2 linked regions of the Elephas maximus indicus genome follow. The protein of the gene in region 1 purifies or fractionates together with the protein of each later gene. This does not show direct contact. Links are inferred from orthologs where the notes say so. Each region holds a gene or a part of one and is shown on either strand. Other genes may lie near its edges.

Region 1 (10,975 bases):
TATAAATATGTATCCACTATTATAAGTATGTATGATTTCTTTTTTTAATACTTTACCATAAAGGAGCTTTGTTCTTAAAATATTTACTAATTGAGGTATAATTTTTTTTTTTTAAAGGAAGATCTCAAGACAGTGGTTTGCAGTCACTGACCACAATACCGTCAGAGACAGAGACAAAATATGACATTCATTAAGCACCTGGTTCTCTACTGTTTCCCTCAATCCTAGCTGTGTACTTTTTAAACTGGCTGTATTGAACACAGAAGTTAATTTCTCACTGCCTCAGTTTCTTCAGGTATAAAATGTGGTTTTATTAACAATAGCTATCTTGTGGGGTATGGCAAGGATTAAATGAGTTAATATATGCAATGGGCTTAAAGTGGTGCCTGGCACACAGCAAATGCCCAATAAATATTACCCATTACCGTCAAGCAGATTCCGGCTCATAGCGACCCTACAGGACAGAGCGGAACTGCCCCACAGAGTTTCCAAGGAACGCCTGGCGGATTCAAACTGCCAACCTTTGGGTTAGCAGCCTTAGCACTTAACCACTAAGCCACCAGGGTTTCCCAATAAATATTAGTTGCCACTAAAGATTTTTTTTAACTTACAAATTTACAATGCCATGTTAAGAATACCACGTTAAAGAAAAATAACTATAGTACTGCTGAAGAAGATGTAAACTGGTCATAAAAATCAGTAGATTTTAAATAAGTATTGCTTTGTATCTGACAATCTGTTTCAGAACTAGTTCTAAAGATAAGTGTACAAATATATACATATAAGAATGTTTATCACAATTTTTTATTTACAATAATGAAGACTGAGAAACTAAACATCTATGAGCAGGAAATCGGCTAAATAAGTTACAACACACCTTTACAACTGGAATACTATGCAGCCAATGAAAAGAATAAGGTATATTTACAGCAGTTCATGACATGTTTCTAAAAAAAAAATCAAACCACAAAACAACACCCATTGAGAGATCTCACTCGTAACAGCTAGAGTTCATATTTGTGAGTAAACATGCAGAGATCAAAAATGTTCCTCAAAGAATTAAAGCTGGGGATATTTTCAGGAATTTTTTGCTGTTTTCTTTATACCTCTGTATATGGACTTCTTACATTCCCTAGGGCAAGTTACTTCACCTACACCGTAAGTCTGTAGTGAAAATGTTTATACATATAGCACCTAGAACAATGCCGGGTGCACAATATGTACTCTCTATATATATTAGTGCGTTTCACTTTTACACAATGAACAGGAAAAGCTTTTACCAGGAAGTAACTAAAATTAAAGAGAAAAATACCCCTACTTTCAAAGAGTTTTTCCACTCCAACAATAGTTTTTGGGGGGATAAATTTTAGAAGATTTTGTGGGATGAGGGAAAAAGGAATAAGGCTAGGGTATATAACATAAACCTCCAACTTCTCTATCTGGCCCTGAAGTTAAAACACGCCAGAAGAAAACAAAGTCACAAATAGTTTGGGAGCATGAATGAGTGAAATCTCCCACTGAATCACTCTCCATTTGCAGCACTGCAAGAATGGGAAAATGGGACAGTTATATGCAGTGCCACTCACAGACTGACAAGCCTATGTTCTGATAAAACCCATCCCGGTTTTTTTTTAAATCTGCAGGATTGCATTTGAAAAGGCAGTCACCAAAAGTGACTTCAGTTGCCAAGTATGAAACACACTCCAGCACTGATGAACGCTGTAAGCTCATTGCTAAAGAATACTAGTTCTATGAAAAATGAATTATTCAAGATATGAACGTATAAAAACAGCCCTCCAGAATTTCAGGACTTGGGCATTATTCCAAATATGAACTCTTTTTCACCTACAGACAGAAGTCAAGCACTATTGAAGGGAATCATAAGGGCACCACCTAGAAACAAAAAGGGACAGACATTCATTTTGCAGGGGAAAGGGAGCAACCACATATACAGATGAGACCTCTAGCCCCAAAGAAAGCATTTTTAGTGGTGTACATACACAGGGATATAAATATTTTGTGCCAAACTAAAGTCTTGTGAAACATGTTTGTTCCATCTCAGCCAGATAACAAGCAATTTATTTTTGCTTCACAGGCATCAAGAACCAAGTGTTCCCAACTTTACAAGTCATTAAAATCGGCTGCAGTGACTTTAAACTACAGCCATAGGCTGTATGTTGTAACGGAAAAAGCTCAGAGTGAAAAATCAGAAGCTCAGGGTTCTACATCCGGCATTCAACTGCGTAAACCTGCAGAAACCACCTTAACAACTCTGGGTCTCCTTTTCCCACTCCTTGAGTGAGGCTCTGAAGTCACTTCAGCTCTGAGGGTCTGTGACATGTTGCTTCAACGCCATCAAGTTTTGCTGGGTGTTTTTTTTTTTTTTGGAGGGGGAGGGGCAGCCTAGGGAGAAAACTGTCTAATACTGTAAACTAAATACTTTTCAACATTAAAATGTGACATACTTCTGCTTTATATATTCAATATACGGAACTGCATTAAAAAGTACACCCTATCCTGGCATTTACTGGACACAGCAGAGACCTACAAATCAATCCAGATCATGGGCTTCTGGTCAACAATTCCCCAAAGCTACACAGATGGTTTAACACAGTTATTCTGTACACACACACATACACACACGATAAGATAAAATCATCCAAGGAATGTGAACATTCAGGACATTGTGTTTTTGCCTGAATTATCCAAAGAGATCTCTGTACTTTCGGGATAAAAAAAAAAATTGAACAAGAAATGACTTTAATGCAATTACTAATGCACCTTTAAAAAAGGACTAAGGGAAAGGAAAGTTATCTGAAACAGTAAGTCTGTATTTCAAGTCCCAAACAACCTCCCCACGGGGCAATATTTTGCCGTAATTAAAACCATTTTTTGAAAAGCGTTTTTTCAAAAGCTACTTATAAAGAACAGCAGAAAAAACAATAGAAAATAACTTATGGGGGGGGGGAAAGAACGCCTTCTATCCCTACCCCACTGATTTCCGATGCCAATGCTTTAACTAAAGCAGGAAATAAAGGAGATGGCGGGAGCGTAGGCAGAGAGCGGAAGTTTGTCTAGTGTCTTTGAAGTGTTTGAATGGACCGAGGCACGCTCCCTCCCGCCAAACTATAAACGTAGCCTTCTCCATCCCACCAGCCTTCCAGCCCGCCAGGTGTACTCCACGTTCCCCTTTCGACAGGCCCTCTACTCTCCCTTCCCCCGAGAACTCCTCGTTTGCACGTCTCACACTCAACTCCCGCCACCCCCATCCCAGCCTACACAAGAACCCAGGCGCTTCTTTACACTCTCTGACTCTCCCTTCCTGAGATCCAGCCACTCCCCAAGGTCCACTCCCCGGTCCCTCGGCCTGAGAAGTGCCTGGTGCCCTTGGAAGCGAATACTCTCGCCGCGCCCTCCCCCCTTACCCCCCCGCCCCGGCTCCAGGCCTTACTCGGGAACCCGAACCACGAGGTCCGCGGGTCCCTCCCGCCAGCCCCCCTCGAGTCGAGCTCTAATCGGCCCGTCAGATACGTCCTCGTGGCCACAACAGGCCCCTCCACCTACCCGACGGTGGCGGGCGGCGGCCCAGCCACACACACACATTCCCCGCGTCCTTGCTGGGCCGACCGCGGAGAGTGGCGCCGCTTTCCTCCGCCCAGAGGGAAACAAAGACTCGAGCTCCGGAGCCCTCTCGGTCAGGCCGGCCCTGGCCTGCTCCCCGCCGGCCCGCCGCGGCTCCAACAAAGCCCGAGCCGCTGCCTCGCGCCCCCGGCCTGGCTTACCCATCGGTCCCCGCACGCTTCTTGCCGGAGGGGTAATCCTCCCCCAGGTCCAACCGGTGCCGCTTGGACATCTTCGTACTCTTCGAGCGGGTGGTTACCAAGAAGGAGAAAAAAGAGAAGCCAGTGGCTGTAGCGCCGCAGTCGAGGGCAGCTACTTTGGAGAACCCCCACCCCTCCCGCTACAACAGCCTACACCGTGCGGCCGGAACCAGGAGCTAAAATGGCGGCGGCGACGAGGGCTGGGCCTGCGCGCGCGCTTCCGCAGCGTACGTACTGTGCGTCCTTGCGTGCGTAGTGCACGCGCACGACTCTCGGAGGCGGCAACTCTGGCCCCGCCCACCAACGCTCTGGCCCGCCCACCCCGCGCCCCGCCTGACGCCTCCCTATTCCCGGCGCTTTCCGAGTCTGAGAGGGTGTAAAGAGCCGTGAGACGGAGGCGCTTGAGGCTCCGCTTCTGTCTCACCGTCCCGCTCTGATTTAGGAAATTGAAAGGGAGGAAGTCTAGTCCTAGTTAGGAAATCCTACCTATCTGTATTGTCTTGGCTTTAGGGCAATCTGAGACCAGCCAAGCCAGGACTGGAACCTGATCTAAAACTCCAAATCTAGAACTTGTAGCTACTGTGCTAAACACTCAATTGCAGAGAGAAAACTGAGATGAGAAGATGTCATGACTTGCCATGATCCATTTTGCGCTTTCTCTACCCAACACGGACAACATGCATTTGGGCTATAAAAGTTTTGTTGGAGTAGAGAAAATTGGCAGTAAGGGGATAATTAGCTTTTTTTTTTTTTTTTTAATGCCTGTTTTGCACTTGTGACAGCGTTAATCCTACCTCTTTACCTCACTCTTACGGTAACCCTGCACGGTAGATGTTATTTTATAGGCGTGGAAGCTAAAGCTGAGAGCGGTTATGAAATGTGCCCCAAATCGCAGAGTCAATAGTGCTGTACCCAAAGCAACAGCAAACTAGTGGAGCAAGATGCCTCTGGTGCCTTTTGTGGACCTCTCCCCTTCTTCCTGGGTTGTGTCCATTCAAGAAAGAAATGCACAAGAAAAAGAGCCATGGACCAAACCCAGCTGGGTGACTCCTGTAGTTCATGCAATTGACTCTAGCTGTCTTGGAAGGCCAAGCTCTGGTTCTATCAAATCCTTAGCACTGCAAGTGAGAAGATTAAATACAACTTAAATATTGAACACTGAAAAATAGGGTTTTTATTTTTTTCTACCAAACACACATTCCAAAGTCAGCACCAAGAGAACTGGATATCTTCTTTTCACTTATAAAATACTCAGTGCAAGTTTCTACCCTAAATGTACATTAACAGTGGATTGGCTTTTGTCAGAGATCACAATGTATGATCACTGAATTGTAAACCTGGGAAAGAATTTCCAGCTGATTTTCTCTTTCCACTTAATTTTAAAACCCCATTGCCGTCGGGTTGATTCCCATAGGGTTCCCAAGGAGCGGCTGGTGAATTTGGAACATTGACCTTATCGGTTCACAGCCAATATCTTAACCACCTGAGCCACTAGGTCATGACCAAATTCACACAGCCAGTTAGTATCAAAGACAGAATTAAAATTCAGAGTTCACTTTAACTATTTCATCCTCAGGTCTCCAAGTTCCCAGTTGGAGAGCTACAATAACATGCTCTAAAAAAAAAACGGAAAAGGTTGGAATTCTGCCTTCAGAAGTGCTCCGGCCTAAGAGGAGTCAGCCACTCAGAAGTGTGCAAAGAGCCTTCGTAAATGAAGAACTGAAACCAAGGTGATGAGACCTTTTTCCTTGGGCCTAGGATGTATCTAAAGAAACCTGTAACCTAATCAATTGTGTTGTAACATGAATTACTGAAGAAAGGTCATATTTACCAAAGATAGTGGCCTTTCTGGAACCCGGAATAAAGACAACTAAGGGCCAGAATCTGCCAGGATGTTTGTACTTTCTGGGAAGAGGAGCAGAGCTCTGAGTCTAGATGCTCTACCCTAGATTTTCAGACAAAACTGACTCTAGAGTAAAGAAGGGCCACCCACCAGGACCCACAGCTTGTTGCCAGAGAATATTTATTACCTTTACTCTTACTCTTTGTCTACTAGACAACCCTCTGATCTAGTATCTGACCTATGGCATGGATTTACTCACCTGGAGGGAATGTTTTATGCAGCTATCCAGCTCCAGATTGCAAGCCAGGGTTATCTCCCAACCTAAAGTAATGAATGGTAATGATAATAGTTAATGTGTATAAAGCATTTAGGAGTCCCTGGATGGCAAAAATGGTTAAATACTTGACTACTAGCCTAAAGGTTTGCAGTTCAAACCCACCCGGAGGTGCCTCGAAAGACAGGCCTAGCAAAAAGTCACAGCCTTAAAAACCCTGTGGAGCGGTTCTATGCTGCACACACAAGGTTGCCATGCATGAGAATCAACTTGACAGCAACTAACAATAACGACAACATTGTCATGGATTGAATTGTGTCCCCTGAAAATGAGTGTCAGCTTGGCTAGGCCGTGATTCCCAGTATTGTGTGGTTGTCCTCCATTTTAGGATCTGATGCAATTTTCCTATGTGTTGTAGATCCTACTCTCTGCCGGTGGTTAATGAGGCAAGATTAGGTTATGTTAAAGAGGATTAGGGTGGGATGTAACACCCACACTCAGGTCACAGCCCTGATCCAATGTAAGGGGAATTTCCCTGGGATGTGGCTTGCGTCAGTTTTTATATTGCAAGAGATAAAACGGGAGAGAAGTGAACAGAGAGATGAGGACCTCATGCCACCAAGAAAGAAGCTCTGGGAGTGGAGTGCATGCTTTGGACCCAGGTTCCTGTGCTAAGAAGCTCCTAGGCCAGGTGAAGATTGATGACAATTACTTTCCCCCAAAACAGACAGAGAAAGACTTGCCCTGGAGCTGGCACCCTGAATTCAGACTTCTAGACTGTGAGTTAATAAATTTCTCTTTGTTAAAGGCATCCTCTTGTGGTATTTCTGTTATAGCAGCACTCGATGATAACTACGAATGTGGTAACAGAAAACTGGGATACTGCTCTAACAGATACCTAAAATGTGGAAGCGGTTTTGAACTGAGTAATGGGTAGATGCTGGAAGAGTTTTAAAGTGTCTAGTAGTAAATGCCTAGATTGCCTTGAAGAGACTTTTCGTGGAATTATGGACATCAAAGGCAATTCTGGCGAGGATTCAGAAGGATATGAGGAGAGTTGTCTCAAAGGGTGGAGCCATAACCTTCAGGGTTTCAAATGATAGGGCCATAGCCTCCTAGGTTTCAAAAAATCAGATCTTCATCAACTTGATTCCGGAGTGTTGGGCTGCCTCTCACGAGCGCCAGTGGGATGGGGCCAGATCCACTGTCCAAAGCTGAGGGGGCAGGGCTGCCATGCCTGAGGTTCAGAGGGACAGGGTCTGCTGGGGCAGAGTAGGTAGGGTCGCCGCTCAGTTGGGCTAGAAAAACAAGGCTGCCCAAATGCAATGGCGCAGGACCAGACAGTTTTGTGCTGCTGTACATAGGGTCGCTATGAGTTGGAGCTGACTCGACGGCACTTAACAACAGCAGCAACAACAAATGCAAGGGGGCATAGTTGCTGTTCCAGTGGGCCTGGAAGACTGAGCTGAAGCCCAGGGCCGAGGGGCCTCCGCTCAGAATCCGGAGAGTGTGGCCAACACTCAGAGTCTGGAGGGCAGGGCCATTGCCTAGATGGTCTCAGAGAAAAGAGAATTATTTTCAAGCCTTGAGAGCTAGTGTAAATTGTTCTGCTGGATTTTTGACTTGCTAGGTTTTGTTATCCCTTCTTTCCCTTCAGTTTTGTATCCCCCCCAAAATATGTGTCAACTTGGTTAGGCCATGATTCCCAGTATTGTGTATTGTGTGGTTGTCCTCCATTTTGTGATTGTAATTTTATGTTGAGAGAATTAGAGTGGGATTGTAACACCACCCTTAACTCGGGTTACCTCCCTGATCCAAGGTAAAGGAAGTTTCCCTGGGATGTGACCTGTACCACCTTTTATCTCCCAAGAGATCAAAGGAAACGGAAGCAAGCAGAGAGTTGAGGACCTCATACCACCAAGAAAGCAGCACCAGGAGCAGAGTGCATCCTTTGGGCCAGGGGTCCGTGCGCCTGAGAAGCTCCTTGACTATGGGAAGATTGAGGACAAGGACCTTCGTCCATAGCCAAAAGAGAGAGAAAGCCTTCCCCTGGAGCCAATACCCTGAATTTGGACTTGTAACCTACTAGACTATGAGAAAATAAATTTCTCTTTGTTAAAGCCATCCACTTGTGATATTTCCGTTATGGCAGCACTAGATGACTAAGACAAGTTTCTTCCATTTGTAATGGAAATGTCTAGCTTTTGGCTGTTCCACCGTAGTACTCTGGAAGCAGATACCTTGTATTCTAGGTTTCACAGATGAAGAGGAATTTTGTAGAAGATGAGATTTTGGATTTGGAGTTGATTTAAGACTTTTGCTATGATATGATGGGAGCTGAATGTATTTTACATGTGGCAAGGACATGAATTTTGGGGGCCAAAAAGTAAAATATCATGGATTGAATTGTGTCCCCCCAAAATATGTGTCAGCATGGCTAAGCCATGATTCCCAGTATTGTGTGGTTCTCCTCCGTTTTGTGATCTGATGTAATTTTCCTATGCATTGTAAATCCTAATCTCTGCCTGTGGTTAATTAGGCAAGATTAGGTTATGTTAAAGAGAATTAGGGTGGGATGCAACACCCTCACTCAGATCACAGCCCTGATCCAATGTAATGGGAGTTTTCCTGGAGTGTGGCCTGTATCACCTTTTATCTTAAAAAAATCAGAAAACCCATTGCCATCGAGTCGATTCAGACTCATAGCAACCCTATAGGACAGACTAGAACTGCCCCATAGAGTTTCCAAGGAGCACCTGGTGGATTCGAACTGCCGACCTTTTGGTTAGCAGCTGTAGTTCTTAACCACTACTCCACCAGGGTTTCCCCTTTTATCTTAGAAGAGATAAAAGGAGAGCAAAGCAAGCAGAAAAAGAAAGACCTGTATTACCACCAAGAAAGAAGAGCTGGGAGCTGAGTGCATCCTTTGGACCTGGGGTCCCTGCACTGAGAGCCTCCTAGGCTCAGGGGAAGATTGAAGCCAAGACACATGTAGCTATCCAAGGAATACTGGGCCCACAGATGTTGAAAGGAGACAAGGACCTTCCCCCAGAGCTAAAGGAGAGAAAACTTCCTAGAGCTGGAACCCTGAATTCAGACTTTTAGCCTCCTAAACTGTGAGAGAATAAATTTCTGTTTGTTAAAGCCATCCACTTGTGGCATTTCTGTTATAGCAGCACTAGATGACTAAGACAATCCAAGACAGTCTGTGTGCGTAACCACTAAGCTTTGCTGCTGATACATGGGTATTCTCATTCCATGTTATTCTTCTAAGGTTTACTAAGGATAAATTCCCCCAATCTGACAGTGGACTAATAAACTTCAGCTTCCACATTTTTCCGTTAGAGGACAAGTTTATAAAGCTATCAGTGAAGCCATGATTTGGAAGGTTGGAACCCTCTGATTCCAGAGCTATGTGTTAACTACACTGTTTCACTACTACCCACCCATTAATTTATTCATTTATTTATTCACTCAACAAATATTTATTAAACTCTTCTGTCAGGAATTGAGTTAAGTGCTGGGAAAAAAAGCAAAGAAAAATAGCCATAGTCCCTGACTTCATGGAACTTATCAGAGAGGAAGAGATAACAGCTACACTCACAGATGACTGTCATCACAGCCGTGATAAATGTTAAGAAGGTCAACTAAACTACAGGGACAGATGCCATGAGAGTATATGTAACAAGTGGCATTGACCTAAATTAAGAGAGTTAGAGAAGGCCTCTCTAAGAAAGGGACAATTATATAAAGACCTTAAACTGTAGAGCAACTGACCAGGCAAAGAGGGAGGAAAGAATGCCAAGCAGAGGAAAAAGCCTGTGCAAAGGCCCTGAAAAGTAAAAAAACCAGGTGCAGTCCATAGGCAGGAAGAAGAATAAAGTGAGTGCAATGATATAAGGAGGGCGCAATCCTGCAGTTGCAAGAAGGGGCATGACACGCAGAGCATAAGAGTTCCTGCTAAGAGTATAAGACTTTAGAGCAAGAGGAAACTGTCAAAAAGACTTACATGACAAAATGATATGATTTCTTATGAGAATTTGCCAGGATCAACTCGCCAATCTCCCTTTTTGAAATCTCCTTAGCTACAACATGCTCACAGTTGAGAAAGAATTTTCAGTACTGCTGTTAATCACCCTGTTTTCACTCTACTATTTAATAGATATAAATAGTTACAAAGTGTAGTGGTCACTATGACCCATCAAGGATGAAAGACAGCCCTGCATCTGCTGGGACTGCTGCCGGCAGACAGCCTTCAGCTGTCAGGTTTTTCCTGGAACTTCCCTGGTTAAAGAAACTGCCTTACCTGAGGGTGCAACCTGCCTGAGACAGTCTGAATACATGGAATGAACATCGTGGAGGTACATAGGCCTGGCCTCCTCTGCCTAACTTGGGCCAACTCTGAAGACCATCTGAGCTTCAGAGCTTCCCATGTGATCAGATGAGGTTTTTTTTGTGACCGCACCAGAGCCCTACTTCTCTTTCTGTCTCATCCTACTTTCTTCCCTTTCCTTCCACAGATATTGATTCTAAGAGTTGTTGTTAGCTGTCATCAAGTTGGCCTTCAACTCTTGATAACCCATGAGCCACAGAAGGAAACACCGCCCAATCCTGCACTATTTCCATGACGGGTTGTAGATTGGACCATTGTGATCCATGGGGTTTTCTTTGGCTGATTTGCGGAAGTACATCTTTAGGCCTTCCTTCCTAGTCCATGTTAGTCTGGAAATTCCACTGAAACCTGTACAACATCGTAGCAACAGACAAGCCTCCACTTACAGAAGGGTGGTGGCTATGCATAAGGTGCATCGGACGGAAATCAAAACTGGGCGTACCACATGGAAGGTAAGAATTCTACCACTGAACCACCAATGTCCCTGATCCTAAGTTTACTCCCTAATAAACTTATTGGATTCTAATCTTTGCCTCAGAGTCTGTGTTCCATGGAAACTAATCTAAAGAATTTGGTGCCAGGTGCTATCCAAGGCAGCAAATACTAAGATTGGATTTGGGAGTTGTCATCCATTCTGGCTGACA
Region 2 (10,295 bases), on another chromosome or scaffold:
ACAGTCTTTATGGGGAATACAATTTAATCCATAACAATAGAGTGGGTCCTATTCCTATATGACACGCATCCTTATAAAAGGATGAAGATAAACAGAAACAGGTAGACAGGAAGGATGCCATGTGATGCTGCAGCTGCAAGCCCAGGAACACCTGTAGCCACCAAGAGCTAGGAGAGAGGCCTGGAACAGAGATTCCCCCTCAAAGCATCAGAAGGAACAACACGGCTAACACCCTAAACTCAGATCCCCAGTCTCCAGAGCTGTGACACAATAACTTTCTGTTGTTACAATTGCCCAGTTTGTAGTATTTTGTTACAGCAGCCCCGGGACACTAATAGAGTCATTGGTGACATCTTATGAGTATCTTGTAATGTTCAATCCTATCAGCTTGTAATAGGATAAAATCTAGGACTGCAACTAACACCCCAGTGCATGAGGCAGCCTGTTTTTGACTAAGCAGGACGTAACTTAGAGAGGATTGACATTAGCGCCTTCCAGGCAAGTGGCGATAATTACAAATCTCAGATTTCTGAGGCCCACATTATGGTAATTTGAGGTTTCTGAATGTTTTTTAGAACTCCCAGAGTTTTCTTTATTTCTCCCAAAGTTATGAATAATGACAGTTGAGATTCTGAGTCAAAGGCAAAGCTAGAAAAACGTTGTTGTTAGGTGCCACCAAGTCACCTCCAACTTATAGTGACCTTATGTGTAACAGAACAAAATGTTGCCCAGTCCTGTGCCATCTGAGGAAGGGTATGCATCAGGGTTGTATCTTTCACCATATTTATTCAATCTGTATGCTGACCAAATAATCTGAGAAATTGGGCTATATGAAGAAGAACACAGCACCAGGATTGCAGGAAGACTCATTAACAACCTGCAATATGCAAATGACACAACTTTGCTTGTTGAAGGTGAGGAAGACTTGAAGCACTTACTGGCAAATATTAAAGACAACAGCCTTCACTATGGATTATACCTCAACATAAAGAAAACAAAAATCCTCACAACTGGACCAATAAGCAACATCATGATAAACGGAGAAAAGATTGAATTTTTCAAAAAGAGATACTGAAAACTGAAAGCACAATTGTTGTTGTGTGCTGTGGGTCCATAATTTTATGAATGTGCTTCCACAATGATTTTTTTTTTTTTTGGCCTTAAAAGAGAGAGTTATTTTACTTACAAACATAATTTCCCAAAATGTTTTCCTCTGGGAAAGTTTTAAATAGGTTGGCATAAAAACGAAAATGTATTTGTTGTTTTTAACAAGAGAATTTTTTTAAAGATAGCTCTATCAAAGGAAGGGGGCAGTTTCTGAAGGATTGACACAGTCCGTATGTAAGTAGCCCATTTCTCACTAGGGGGAGCTCAGAACCCACCAATAAGTGGCAAACCCAACCAAACCCACTGCCCTCGAGTCCGTTCCAACTCGTAGCGACCCTACAGGACAGAGTAGACCTGCCCCGTAGAGTTTCCAAGGAGCGCGTGGTGGATTCAAACTGCTGACCTCTTGGGTAGCAGCCGTAGCACTTAACCACTATGGCAATAAGTGGCAAGACAAGCTAAATAAAATGCCATTTCACCTATTTAGGGTAAAAACAGTATATTTGGGTATAGACGGCCAGATTTTCAGAAGTTGGAAATTTTTTATATGTCAAATTTCAATTATCACCCTCTGTAATTCCAAATTATATGCAAAGGAATAAGAAAATATTGTAAGCAAATAATAGATATGGCATTATCCTCAAGTTCTTGGGGGAAAATTCCTAGTGTTCATAACAAAGAACAAACAATATAAGGCAGTTATAATTGTGGGTACCTGGAAAGACTGTTAGGAGAAACACAATTCTTGCTCTCTGGCCCCTTTTCCTGTCTCCATGTATAACCAGTGGAGTCTCTTCCCCTTTCAAGATTCACCATCTTGGGTACATTTGGGGAAGGGGCGATCTCATAGCCACCTCTAGGCTAGTGTGTTCAGCAGCCTGTCATCCATTGTGTTTCCTCTGACGCTCTCAGCTCTGAAACTGTGGTGCTGCCATCCCATCCCCACCGTGAAGCTATCATCACTGTCCTCACTTCAGCTGCTCAGTCCTTCTTTCCCAGCAGCAGTGTTAACCCAAGAGTGTGCGGAGTAGAGCAAAGTCTTACTAAAGGATTAGGGGAAATAGCACCATACCTTAAAAGTCTCTTGTCCCCCTAACCCTTGTTACTGGGAACGTCTCACTGGCCATGGTTTTCTTCAGGTTCCAGAACTATCACCACCCCCTCCATCACCCCCCCCACCCATTGTGAAGCCTTTCACTACCTTTGAAATTCTTCACAGCTCTCTTCACCACAGACTAGAGTTACAATATGTCCCACGCAAATAAGTCCCAAATATTATATGGGTCGTATTTCTACTAAAAAGTTATTTCTCATTCATTTGAAATTTAAATTTAGCTGGGCGTCTTACAGTTTTTTCTAAATCTGTTAATGCTACCCTGGAGTCTTCACTCTGCTTTCCTTGGGACTGAAGGGGGAATTCCAAAATCTACCCCACTCCCCTTATTAAGCAAGTTATCTCTATTTCATCCTCTCCCATTCAAGCCATACCCAGGAAAACTCAATTTTCTCACTAATCTATCTCCCTTGGAACAAAGATTTAGTTTATGTTTTAAATAGCAGTTTTTATTTCTATCTCAGTAGCATATTACCTGGAGCCTTGGTGGTGCAGTGTTTAAAAGCTCAGCTGCTAACTGAAAGGACAGCAGTTCCAATCCACCAGCTGCTCGATGGAAACTCCACGGCGCAGTTCTACCATGTTGTCTTGGGTCACTATGAGTTGGAATTCACTTGACAGCAATGGCTTTGGGTTTTGTTTTGTTTTAAGTATATTACCTGTCTATTAACATATTTGCACCCAGTAAGTTGCAGTGCTTCGTTTTCAGGTTTCATTATTGCTGTTGAACATAGATGTTTCAGAATTGCCCCATCCACAAATTTAGTTCATTGGGTTCATGTTAATTCAGTACATACCACACACTGGACACTGTACTAGTACAAGGATACCAAGAGAGGCCTTGTCTTGATAGACGGTGTAGCTTAAAATGAGGAAGGAGCAGCTATCCCACGGTCTACTAGTTGCTTTAAACCCAGCTAAAAAGGTTGAACTCCGCCTGCCATTTTCACGTTCAAGGTAGACATTGTCTGTGAGTTGGAGATTTTCAAGGGGAGAGAACAGCTTTCTGGAACAGCAGCTGTACACTCAGCTTATCCTTAAATAAACTGCTCCCTTTGCAAGCAACGCTGAGAGTGAATTCTGTCCTGCTGCCCACCTTTCAAACTGAGACAAACACCTGCCACGATTTTGAAGACTGGTGGGGAACGCTGTTAAGAAGGTGTAGGCAGATTTTCCTTTACGGGGAATAACTTCTACAGTTAGATAAACTTAATCCCTTTTAATAGGTTCTTATTAGCCTGCCTTTTGAAGATAATTCAGTTTTCAGATTAGGAGATACACAATGGCATTTGGATGCTGTAACAATCTGATATGCAGTTGTTCATCATGAAGAAGTTACCAGGAACATTAAAAAAAAAATTCTTAAGGGTGATTGTCCTAGTCATCTACTGCTGCGATAACAGAAATACCACAGGTGGATGGGTTTAACAAAGAGAAATTCATTCTCTCACAGTCTAGTAGATTACAAGTCCAAATTCAGGGCACCGGCTCCGAGGGAAGGCTTTCTCTCTCTGCCAGCTCTGGAGAAAGGTCCTTGTCATCAGTCTTCCCTTGGTCTGGGATTATCTCGGCACAGGAACCTCAGGTCCAAGGAATGCGCTCTGCTCCCGGCACTGCTTTCTTGGTGGTATGAGGTCCCCAGGTATCTCTGCTTGCTTCTCTCCTTTATATCTCGAAAGAGATTGGCTTAAGACACTACCTAATCTTGTAGACCTCATCAATATAACTGCTGCTAATCCATCTTATTACATCATAGCGATAGGATTTACAACATATAGAAAAATCACATAAAATGGTGGGCAACCACATAAAATGGTAGACAATCACACAATACTGAGAATCATGGCCCAGATAAGTTGACAGATATTTTTAGGGGACACAATTCAATCCATGACATGGATGAATTTATCTTGTATCTACTCTAGGGCCTTGCTACTTAGAGTGTGGTCCTCGGACCAGCATCCTTAGCTTCACCTGGGAGCTTGCTAGAAATGAAGACTCTTAGGACCCACCACAGACCTGCTCAGTCAGTATCTGCCATTTCCGCATAGTCTGCAGGTGATTTGAAGAACATCAGACTTGAGTAGCCCTCTACGGTTTAGCATGGTGCCTGGGCTACTGGGTGGAAAAAAAACTGTATAATGTAGGGCTGTTTCTTGACGTAGTACCTAAAAGAGCACAGAATTTCCCTCTAATCACAATTATGATCATTTTCCTCACCATTTTAAAATTACAGTCTACTGTTTGGTTTTGTATCAGCAGCTTTATAGTGTGACTTAGACGACATTCATCACAGAACTGGAGAATTCTGAATGGATGGATGGTAGATTGAAAAGCACTGGGCCTAACGGAGCAGCCTAGCCTCTCCCTTACCCATCAGCTGGCTTCTGGAGTTCATTCTAGCCCTAAGGAGCACTTAGTCGGTGGTGGGAAGCTGCTCTTCCAGATATCACAGGTGTCTCTATTTTCTAGTCCTATAAGCCCCGGTAGTACAGTGGTTAAAGCATTCGGCCAAGCCACGGGAGAAAGATGTGGTGGTCCGATTCTGTAAAGATTACAGCCTTGGAAACCTATGGGGCAGTTCTACTTTTTTCCTACAGGGTCGCTGAGTCGGAGAGGACTCAGTGGCAAAGGTTTTTTTTGGTTATGGAATCCTTTTCACATCACATGCCACTATCGTAACAAAAAAAAAACCTTCTAGTGTCCTGAAATTTATTTATCTAGATTTAAAAAGAAAAAGCTCTCTTTGCAATAAGTCATTAATAAATTATGAATAACTGGTCATGCATAGTGCCTGACTCCCAGACAGTTTGCTCACAGAGAGCTTGTGGATGCTTCTCTGTGTGGGACTCAACTCGAGCAGGCTCTGGGAGTCGCTCCGCTATGGTCTAAGAAACCACAACTTGGAAAGAGTACTTTGCATGCCCACGCCTGGGCCCAGGGAACTGGGCTGTCAACTTCATCGAAGGAAGGGAAACACGCATGCGCACTCCTGTTGACCCGGAGGAAGCGGGAGCGGACGCCGCCGCGAGGAATGGGTGCGCGCACGCGGCGGAAGGGCGGGAGCGCGCGCCGATCTTCCAGGACTCGGGTGTGGGAGGCGGGCACACGCGCGGTGGCCGGTGCCCGAGGCCCGGGCTGCTGCCATGGCTCAAAAGCCGAAAAGGACTTTTCGGCAGCGCCGGGCTGATTCCAGCGACAGTGACGGCGGCAGGGAGTCGCCTACAGAGCCCGGGGCGCCGCGGGAGCAGGCGGCCCCGGGTCCTGCGGAGAAAAGGCCGCCTGCAGAGGCGGCGAGACGGCCGTTCAGGGGCCGGAGCCGGGTCTGGGCGAGTTCCCGGCGCGCCGCGAGAGCGGCCCCCTGTGCAGGCAGCGACCCGGGCGACCAAGGCGACTCCGAGAGCGGTGAGGGCGCCCGAGGGGACGTCCAGGCGGGGCGGGAGCAGGTCGGCGGGTGCCCGGAGCCTTCCGGGGCAGTTCTGTCGTCTGCCGCCGGCCACCGGGAGCCCCTAGTCGCAGAGGCAGTGAGCAGGACTCCCTCCCGCCTGAGAGCACTGGCCCGCTGCCTCCATCCCCGTTTTGGGCTCCTTTGGGGAGTAAAAGGAATTCTGTACGGATGGGTGGATGGCTCCTGTGTGTTTGCGTCCCGAGGTGACCTTAACTGATTGTAGCTATAGATCAACACTTGGTGTTTATGAGGAGTTAAATACTGCTGAATATGCTTAAGCAAGCAGGAAAGTTATATGTACCTTTTGGAAACTTGTCAATTCGGAGTTGAATCTTTATGTTTTAGAAAACACTTAGCCAGAATGAATTGTACGTTAGAAGAATCTAAGTGACAGGCTTTGGGACATTCTCTTTTGCCTGTTCTTCTTTTTCATCAGTTATTTGCAAAAACTGGGATGAAAAATAACTGTCGCTGAGTAGCATAACCGATAATAAAGTTAAATATGGTGTAGTGATTTGAGGTACCAGTGAGTTCTTAAATATGGATTTGAGCAGCGTAAAGTTTACGTAAAATGTGCTGTTAATGTGTTTGAATTGGAGTTTAATAAGGAACAAGTTTTTGGTTAATCTTTTCGGTAAAAAATTTTCTCCCTGCTATTACTAGTCCATTAAGGCAATCTTGGTGTTTTCTTAGTCATTGTTAGGACCTTGTATCTGGTGATGGAAGTTTTGATAACTTTTTGTATTTGTTTTTCTACTCTAAAAATGTGTAAGTCATCTAGTTAAACTTTAGCAGGAATAGAGAGCACAAGTTTTCTGTTTGTCTTGCCTTCTCAAGCAGCGGTTTTCTAGCTTTTTGGTTTTACCAAAACCAGTTGCCCTCCAGTCATTACAACTCATAGGTTGGAGTAGAACTGCCCTATAATGTTTCCAAGGGAGTAGTCTTAGTGGAAGCAGGCTGCCACATCATTCTTCCACAGAGCGATTGGTGGGTTTGAACTGACAACCTTTCAGTTAGCTGAGTGCTTCACCACTGTGCTGCCAGGACTCCTTTTTTTTTGTTTGTTTCTAGAACCCCCTTTATACTATTAAAAATGATTGGGGGCCCCTGTGAAGTTTTGGTTCTATGGATTTTATCCATTGATATTTACCATATTTGAAATTAAAACAGAAATGTTTAGTAAACCATTTTTTTAAAAAAAAACTATTGTAAACCCATAACATGGAAGGATAAATAACTTTTTTTTAATATTCTTTTTTTTTGGTGAAAGTATACACAGCAAAATAGGTTCCCATTCAACAGTTTCTACACGTCATGTTCAGTGCGTTGGTTAGTCTTCATTTTGTGTCAATATTCTCGTTATTTCTGTTTTAATTGTTCCACTCCCATTAATGTAGTCTCACTGCCCCCTAAACTTCTCATCTGTGCTTTAGAATAACTTGTCCATTTGGTATCATGTGGATAACTTTTTAAAAAAAAGATTGCAGTTCTCAAGGGTGAAATTCTCTACTTTTTGAGCTAACCTGCTATTTAGTTAAAAAGTGATTTCAAGTGATAGTTTCTGTTCAAGGATTAAAGAGTATCTCAGGGCAATAGTCTTGGGGATACCCTCAGTCTCAGCGGGTTCAGTAAGCCGGGGTTCTTTGAGAATTTGAAGTTCTCTTCCACATTTTTTTTCCTCCCCTTTTTATCAGGATCCATCTATTGTGACCCTGATCAAAATATTTGGTAGTGGTAGCTGGGCACTATCTAGTTCTTGTGGTCTAAAGATAGAGGAGGCCATGGTTCATGGATAATTAGTCCTGTAGCCCAATTCTTTCTCTATTTCTTGGGTTTCTTTCAGTCTCTTTTGCTACAGCAAAGAGAGACCAGTGGTTCTATCTTAGCCAGCTGCTTGCAAGTGTCTAAAGCTTGAGACGCCAAGTAACATTTTTGTGAAAAATAATTATTTTCCAAAAAAATAGAAGAACACCATTGTTTCTCATTTGACAATCTCTTTAATGTCTGGCCTCATGGAAGACAGCTGAATTGTCATAGCCGCTTCTGATTGAGTCTTTTGTGGTATGTGTTGGTTGAAGTATGTGAAGAAGATGAAGCCTTAGATATGTGGTTAGAGGGGTATTTAGTAGCCTTTTTCGATCATTGGCGGTATTCTGCTTTAATACTACAAGAAAACTCAACAAGTAACGTTTTTCAAAGCTTAGGTAAGATACGGAATCTGAAACCATATCAGTACATTTTTTTGTACTCTGTTAAATTAAAATCTGTTGTACCCGTTGTGTATGTAGAATGAATCTTTTACCCGTGCGTGATTGGTAATATTGTGCGTTGACTATTTGGAATGTATTGGCTTGGTGAGTTTGCAGATTTTGCAAATGCTGACACTTTTTATGATACAATACCAAAAAATAACTTGGCTAATGTTACCACTAATATCATCAGTCTCTGAGTATGGGGAAACTGTCAGGTTCACAGTGAAGGATACAGGTTTTTCTGAAATTCAAATTTGCACTTGAAATTTCTAATTCTTGAAGTGATAGGCACGCTTTGTTCATTTTTGAGAAATGATTGTCACAATACCCACTTCTGAATAGCCAGAGTTTGTCAATCCTTCTTTCAAGTAAACTACTTTTCCTCTTCAAAAACAGTAGCTAGTTCAGCATGCAACTCAGTCACACAAATGCTTTTCCTCGAAGCAACCATTGTATTTGAGTGCGCAGCAGAAGTACCTTATGCATACATCCCTTTGGTTGCACAGAATATTAAATAGATGTGTGCCGGAGACGGCCCAAGATGGCAACTTAGTCACACACACCAGTCCGCCCCCTACAGCGAAGAGCCAAGAAACTAAGTGAAACAGATACAGGTAACAGTCTGGGAGCCCAGAACAGCAATTGGAAGGATGAAGAATTAGATCAAACACCAAAGGGAGGGAGAAACTGGATGAAAACTGAGAACGAGGAGATTTATGGACTGTAGGCACCCTGCCAGCCGGCCAGGTGCAGCATGGTCATCTTGAGACAAAGTAAGCACTGTTCCTGGATAAGAAGCACAGGAAGGCAACTTCACAATAGGGAACGGAGATACTGTGTAGACAAACCCAGAGTGAAGCAAGGCGAGCAGAACAGGAACCATATCAAAGGAAGGAAAGTATTGGAAGTCAGGCAGGAGCCCTAGGATCCAAGCAACCATAGAGCAGAAAGAAAGCCAGACAATAGGAGTAAAACTGCTCACTTGCAGTGGAGGCAAGAGATCCCCTCCTGGCCAGATGCTGGGCAGCTCCCCCCTCCATGCATCTGGTCAGGGCTCAGTCCTCATCAAAGGCTGCACTCTGCAGGGAGTACAGCAGCATCCAGGCCAGGGACTGGGGGAACACGCTTCCCCCCTTTTACCGTCTTCTGTTCTCCTGGTAGCCAGCAGTATACCAGTCTCCACCGCCCCCCCTTGCCTGGCAGTCCATGGCACGCAGTCCCACACTGTCCGACCTGCAACCAGAGGCTCGTGCCAGCTTCAGCCATCCCCATGCCGCCACACCCCCGGCAATTGGCAGCATGAGCTCTCACCGACTCCCTCTCCCCTGCCCCCACTGCCACTCCTTCCCGTCAGTCAGCAGTGTGAGTTCCCTTGCCACCAACCTGTTGACCAGTGATCAAAGGAAAAGATCCGTATGATCATCTCAATTGACACAGAAAAGGCATCTGATAAAATCCGACAGCGTTTCCTGATGAAAATTCAGCAAGATAGGAATAGAAAGGAAATTCCTCAACATAATTAAGGACATATATGCAAAATCAACAGCCAACATTATTCTCAATAGAGAAAAACTGAGAGCATTCCTCTTGAGAACAGCAACAAGGGAAAAATGTCCTTTATCATTACTCTTACTCAATATTGTACTGGAAGTCCTAGCTAGAGCAATAAAGCAAGAAAGGGAAATAAAAGGTATTCAGGTTAGAAAGGGAGAAGTAAAACTATCCTTATTCACAGATGGCGTGATCCTACACACATAGAAAATCTCAGAGACTCTACAAGAATGTTACTGGGACAAATAGAAGGATTCAGCAAAATGGTAGGGTACAGGATCAACACACAAAAATTAGTTGAGTTCCTCTGCACTAACAAGAGGACTCTTAAAAGGAAATCAAGAAAACAATACCATTTACAATAGTCCCCAAAAGGATAAAAGTATCTAGGAATAAACATAACCAGGGCCATAGGAGACTTATACAAGGAAAACTATAAAACACTACTGCAAGAAACTAAAAGAGATCTACATAAATGCAAAAACATTCCATGCTCATGGATTGGAAGACTTACCATTGTGAACAATGTCCGTACTACCAAAAGCAATCTATAGATATTAATGCAGTCCCAATCCAAAGGAAGGAGGCCCAGAATAGCTAAAGCAATATTGAAGAAGGTCAAAGTAGGAGGCCTTACACTTGCCGATCTCGAAACTTACTATACAGCCTTAGTAAGCAAAACAGCCTAGTACTTTTTCAATGACAGAGACATTGATAGACCAGTGGAATAGAATTGAGAATGCAGAAGTAAATCCATCCATCTACGGGCAGCTGATGTTCAACAAAGGATCAAAGTCCATTCAGTAGGGGAAGAAACAGTCTC

Evidence for each region. Proteins that work in one complex are often made in the same cells at the same time.
Region 2: the proteins of DHX15 (region 1) and GCFC2 purify together in Homo sapiens (co-immunoprecipitation; 3 studies listed by BioGRID and IntAct, with this or other methods). This does not show direct contact. The link is inferred for Elephas maximus indicus from reciprocal best matches to the Homo sapiens genes DHX15 and GCFC2.

Annotation. Positions count from the first base shown.
Region 1 is NC_064823.1:138,875,124-138,886,098, reverse strand, and holds the start of DHX15 (ATP-dependent RNA helicase DHX15), read right to left. Parts: upstream 4,022-10,975; 5' UTR 3,854-4,021; coding exon 3,783-3,853; intron 1-3,782.
Region 2 is NC_064835.1:60,013,186-60,023,480, forward strand, and holds the start of GCFC2 (intron Large complex component GCFC2), read left to right. Parts: upstream 1-5,270; 5' UTR 5,271-5,367; coding exon 5,368-5,626; intron 5,627-10,295.